Linked DNA regions of Xenopus tropicalis. The protein of the gene in region 1 purifies or fractionates together with the protein of each later gene. This does not show direct contact. Links are inferred from orthologs where the notes say so. Each region holds a gene or a part of one and is shown on either strand. Other genes may lie near its edges.

Evidence for each region. The genes of interacting proteins can lie anywhere in the genome.
Region 2: the proteins of kdr (region 1) and cdh5 purify together in Homo sapiens (affinity purification with western blotting; 3 studies listed by BioGRID and IntAct, with this or other methods). This does not show direct contact. The link is inferred for Xenopus tropicalis from reciprocal best matches to the Homo sapiens genes KDR and CDH5.

The regions. Positions count from the first base shown.
Region 1 is NC_030677.2:40,282,382-40,284,888, forward strand, and holds part of kdr (vascular endothelial growth factor receptor 2), read right to left. Parts: coding exon 2,438-2,507; intron 1,665-2,437; coding exon 1,519-1,664; intron 1,135-1,518; coding exon 1,038-1,134; intron 319-1,037; coding exon 233-318; intron 89-232; coding exon 1-88. UniProt on the Homo sapiens protein: Tyrosine-protein kinase that acts as a cell-surface receptor for VEGFA, VEGFC and VEGFD. Plays an essential role in the regulation of angiogenesis, vascular development, vascular permeability, and embryonic hematopoiesis.
Region 2 is NC_030680.2:57,844,536-57,848,035, forward strand, and holds part of cdh5 (cadherin-5), read left to right. Parts: intron 1-926; coding exon 927-1,180; intron 1,181-1,312; coding exon 1,313-1,449; intron 1,450-3,500. UniProt on the Homo sapiens protein: Cadherins are calcium-dependent cell adhesion proteins. They preferentially interact with themselves in a homophilic manner in connecting cells; cadherins may thus contribute to the sorting of heterogeneous cell types.

The DNA of each region.
Region 1 (2,507 bases):
ATCAGAATGGTACCCCGACTGGCAATCACTAGTTTGGTTCGAAGACTCTGATGTTACGGATTCCTTGCTTTTACTCTGCTTCAAAATGCTAAAAAATATAATTGCGAGAAATTATACTAAAGTCACCTTGTCATTGATCTCCTCCCTGGCTTATAATTTTACAATAGATGGTACATTATTTATTATATTTATGTATAAATACATATATATATCAGTATTTGATATTACATACCTAAAAAACTGTGTTTGGTCAGTTCTGTTTTGCAGTGTTTTCAGCTCTTCTGATGCAAGAACCATTCCACTGTCTGTCTGGCTCTCCTAAAACAAGAAATACAGATTTATCGTAATTGCCATCCTTAGCTTGCAACCACTGGCAGGATTTGGCATGTGCAGTTGTGGCCCCCACACCTTCCCCCTAGTCAGTTGTGCATAAAACTACTTTAATTATAGGTACTTGCTTCAAAATGTGTTTCTTGCCTTCTGTATAATTGTGCTCAGCACTGTTCAGTCGTTTCTGCCTTCTGTTCCAAATTGAGCGATTTTGCACCTATTGACACAGGTGAGCATAGGAACTACCACCGGCTTTGTACCCAGTGTCAATAGGAGCAGCACACCTGTGCCTTAATATAAGGCACAGGTGTCACTCTCATGCCGAACACTGGAAATGATGCCAGATGAATTTTTGCATCTGATTTGTGACAAAATGCAGTTGGGATGCAACTGGCCAAAAGTAATTGTGCCAACTGCATTGACCCCTGGGCGACCACAATGATGCTGGGATTCTGAGTGAATGTGAATGTACATATGCCCTATTATGTGTGTTGCAACCTCTGTGAGATGGACTGAACTGTAACTGAACAGACATAATTGCATCATTGATCGCTGATTGACAGAGCATAATCACAAAGTTGTTCATGCATGATCTCTGTTTACTTCTGTTGCTGTTCCGCTTCTGGCCTTGGGAGCATGATGTATTGTGGGAAAGCAAAAGGTGCAGATGTGTAGGAGTGTTAAGCTAATGGGAGAGACAGGCTTACATCTTGAATGGCTTTCACTGCAGGCTCTACAGGAATGTCCTCAAATGTCTTGACACTAACAGGACGGCTCTGTCTCTTGCTGCTGCTGTGAAGGAACCTGGAGTAAAATATTATACTGTTAAAAATGATAAAAGGTGAAGGCAGTAATGTCATAATCTCACTGTTCTCAAATAACTAGGACAGATTTCCACTCTAAATAATCCAAGGCCACACCTTAGGTATATTGTATATATGAGTTATTTCAGAATGAGTTGCATGACTTGCTATAAATCCCACATTTTTGAGTTTGGACAATGCAAGCAAAAATTCAAAGATTATGCATAAGAGCAAGACCGCAGTAGAAAATACAAGACGGTATTATTGTGTATACAAAAATTAACCTCAATCCACTGTTTTCATGTACACATGAAAAAATGTCAAACCAGCTGTTAACTGGGATGTTGTGTGATGTATGATGTGTATTCTATATATAGGATAGTACCTTAATCCAGCTGTGTTATCATAATGGAATTTTGCATCACAAACTTCCTCTTCCTCCATACAGGAAACAGGTGAAGTTGGCACAGAGAGGCCAGAATCATCTTCAATGTTTAAAGATACTGTAAGTGGAATATAGTCTTTTCCATCCTTGAAAATAAAGGATTCCATATTAATAACAGAATGTTGTTAAAATATACAGTACAACAACTATGCTTTCAATTGTAACATAAACTATTCCACACTCTCAGGTACTATCGGGTTTATGCTGCGTAAGATAACGCTTCTAAGAAAGTCACAATATATGTATTGCAATAGTAACACATTACCCATTATTGTTCCCCTTAAACATACAAGGCACTCCCCAAATTTGTAAAGAACCAAACAACATACACCTAAGATTAACTTGACTGCCTGGGGCTTGGGAACATTTATTTGGTACGTAAAGGTATTATGCATGGCACATGTCTGAATCCCGATAAGTGGGCTTTTTTGAAATTACACCCTTTTAAAATCTTTTATACCCTTCCTTATGAATGCTAGAGAACCCTGGGCATTTGGTTTACTGAAGAGGTGATAAAGACAACCCCTACCCACATAGAGTGCCCCTACACTTTTACATATAAAAGGTTAGAAAACCCTGGGCATTTTGTTCAATGCTTTTTGTAACAGTGATCAAGCCGATCCCTATCCATTGCTAGTCAATTGCCACTAACATCAATGGGAAGTACTGAGTCACTCTGAAGGAAGCAGACAGCATGTGTTTGCTTATCAAAAGGTAATGGTTTTGCAATTGCCCAAAATCATTTCTTCACTGTTCAAATGAGTCCATTAACTACAGGTTAAGATATACTTTCTGGACAAAGTTTAATATGTTTTCAAATGCCATAAACAGGTGTACTGTATGCCATGTATTGACTTACCTGTTGCACACTGGCTTGCAACAGATTTCCTAAATGCTCTACTAGCTCTGAAAAAACAGGCCTTTGTTGT
Region 2 (3,500 bases), on another chromosome or scaffold:
ATCAAATAATATGCAGATTTAAAAATGTAATTCTGACAAGAATGATTGTATTTCTAAATGGTATTGATCCTTTTACATCTATGAAATCTTATACAGTAAATCTGAATGAATCATGACAGATGCCATATTATAAAAGTTCTTATAAAATCAGTGCCCAGTGATGTATATAAATAAAGGATAATAAATCATATAAATAAATAAGAATATATTTAGGGTTTTTGTGTATTATATAGTGAAAAATGTACCCCCTTTTGTAAAATACTGTATATGGATATTATAAGTCAACAAGGAGTTCCATGACCATATAAAAGCACAAGGTCGAAGGCTGAGTTTTGTACAGGTTAATGGAACTCATATATATTAGAATGAAGACAAAGATTATATTTTCTTTATATAACAAATACATATATATATATATATATATATATATATATATATATGTATTTTAATAATTTTTCCATCCCTTTAATCCACACAGATGGGCATGGTTATGCTTACTGCAAAAGTTTCCAAACTCTAGGGCTAATACTCCTTAGGTTGACTGAATTCCAAAGAAGGTGATGTTCAGGATAGTTCTAGAATCTTGGCAGGAATACCAGTTAGGAACACATCTCTAAGGAAAACTTATTTGCTTTCAAGATATTCTTGGAACCATAACACACTGACAAGATAATGCTTTCATATATTTGAAACTTATTATAATGTTTGAAGAGTTAATTACATTCTGAACTACAGTACAGGCAAGGCTTCAATACTCTGAAAATCTAAAAACCACTTCCTTACAATATGCATCTGTTTTTGAATATCCTAAACCATTCTTTTGGCTTTCTTTAGTTCAACTGTCAACAAAAAAAAATAATCTACCCGTTAATGTGTTATTCTAGCAATACAAATGTTTATCTTCTCTTTAAACCTGTTTTATGCAGCCCCTGGACTATGAGAGTGTTAAACAATATAACGTGGACATTGAAGCAACAGATCCCCTTATCGACTTACGTGTGGCAAAACAGACTAGGCCCAAGAGTATTACAAACGTCATCATTAATGTCCTTGATGTGGATGAGCCCCCAGTGTTTTCCAAACCATTCTACAAATTTGAAATTTCAGAGGATTCTAAATTAAACAATATTATTGGATTTGTCTCGGCAAAAGATCCCGATGCTGCTAATAGAAACATCAGGTAGAAACATATTTTGAATATTAACATACAGAATAGATTGTGCTTAAATTAGTTCTGTAAACATACAAGGAGACTGCATCAGAGTTTCAGATGAGTAAATTATTGTAATCTATTTTTTTATTGTAACTGCAGATATTCTATGAGAAATTTTAAAGATGAACCAATCAAGGTAACAAACAATGGAAATATTATCAATGTCAAGACGCTTGACAGAGAGACTGCGGATTGGCACAATTTCACTGTGGTAGCTGAAGAAGTTGATCCTAGCAGTAAGTTCTACTCTTTGCTCAGATATTTACCTGTGTTTATATACAAATGCTTCTGGATCCATATTTTATCAGTGGCAATCTTTTAGGGTTTCTTCATCATAGCACAGAATTTCATATACTAGTACATATTGTGTCTGTCCAGAACTATGTATGCTTTTAAATCATGGCTACTGGCATATACTGGAAATATATTACTTACATTTTCTCCAGCAAAATTCACAAATAGTGGCAACAATCTAATGCCTCATATAGAAAAATCTTTGTGTCAGGAAGGAAGAGGAATGAGGCACTGCAAATCTAAAACTTCCTGTAACTTTGTGTACCTTCCAAAAAATGACAGAGAGATGACAGTACAACCCTGATTGATATGGTCAAAAACTTCAAATTAATGGACATGATGATTTGTAACATAATACAATTTAGTACCATGCCTGAAGACCAAAAAAAGGACTGATTAGACATGTTGATTGATTGTTGGAGGCCAGAATAAACAAAAAAACAAAAAAATATTTGAGTAAAATTGTATGTTAATTCTACAATTTGTGGAAAATAGGAATATAGTCCAAATTCCTTAACTGATCTTTTAAAATACTGGCACAATATATAATGAAACAGTATAAACAGTATTTATAAATTCATGCATAATAATAATTATTAATACTACTTGTACAGGTATGGGACCTATTATCCAGAATGCTTGGGACCTGGGGCCTTTCAGATAATAATTTGGGCGATTCCATGATTGGGAACTCCATACCTTAAGTCTACTAAAGAAAAATAAGCAGAAATGTTTTGCCTCCAATAAGGATTAATTATATCTTAGTTTGGATTCATAACAAGGAAATGTTTTATTATTACACAAAAAAGAAAATCATTTTTAAAAATTAGAATTATTTGATTATAATGGATTCTATGGGAGTGGTCTTCCCGTAATTTGGAGCTTTGTGGATAATGGTTTTCATGATAACGGATCCCATACCTGTATTGTTATTATTAAAGCAATAGTACCACATTTTGTCATTGTAAGTGCTAAAAGGTTTATTCTTCATGTAACTTAAATAAAAAGGATATATACTGTATATATATTTTACTGACTAAAATAAAAGTGATGGTTTCCCTTTAAAATCACATCAAAAAGGCTACATTGTGCACTTGCTATACAGGAAGGGGAAATATAGCTTGTTATAAAAGTTTGTGAGTTTTAGAGTAAGTGAGAGGTTTGCTATTTTTGGGAAATGCTGAGTTAACAAGTTAATGAGTTCCCTATATGACTTGCTATATCCCTTTTATATTCAGCAAAGAGAGAGCAACAGAACGGAGCACTATATAAGCTACAGAATGAACATTTGAGTTTTAAGTACAATAACGTCATAGCCGACATCTCATAGAAGTTTGCTCCTTAAATTTGTCTGGACCCAGTTGGTAAAGAAAAAAAACAACCCACTGCCAAAGGGAAACTCCTACTCCAATCACAGATAACAAAAGTCAGCAGTAGACAAACCACCTCCTCTGCATTTTGTGCTTACCTGAGATAAAATTCATTGGGGGTTATGTAATAAAAGGCACTAAGTCTGCCCAGTAGCAGTAACTAATAGCAAGCAATCATCAGGCAGAATCATCAGTCACCTGTTTAAAATTGTATTGGTTGCTATGGGTTACTGCTACTGGGCAGACTAGGGGAGAGATTTACTAATCCACGAACGGTCCGATGGCGTCCAAATGCGTTTTTTTTGTAATGATCGGTATTTTTGCGACATTTTCGTCGGTGTCGCGACTTTTTCGCATGTTCCGCGACTTTTTCGTCGCCATCGCGACTTTTTCGTATATTTTCCGTGACTTTTTCGTTGCCGTTGCGAAAAAACGGATTGGTTTTTCCACAGTTTACAACCGCTCAATACGAAAAAATCACGCCGCCGATGAAATAGTCGCGCAAAATACAATAAAGTCTCGGTGGCAACGAAAAAGTCGCGACAAATACAAAAAAATCACGACGGCGACGAAAAAGTCGCAAAATTTTTGTTTCCAATTGAAACTGGGTAAAATAGCCACAA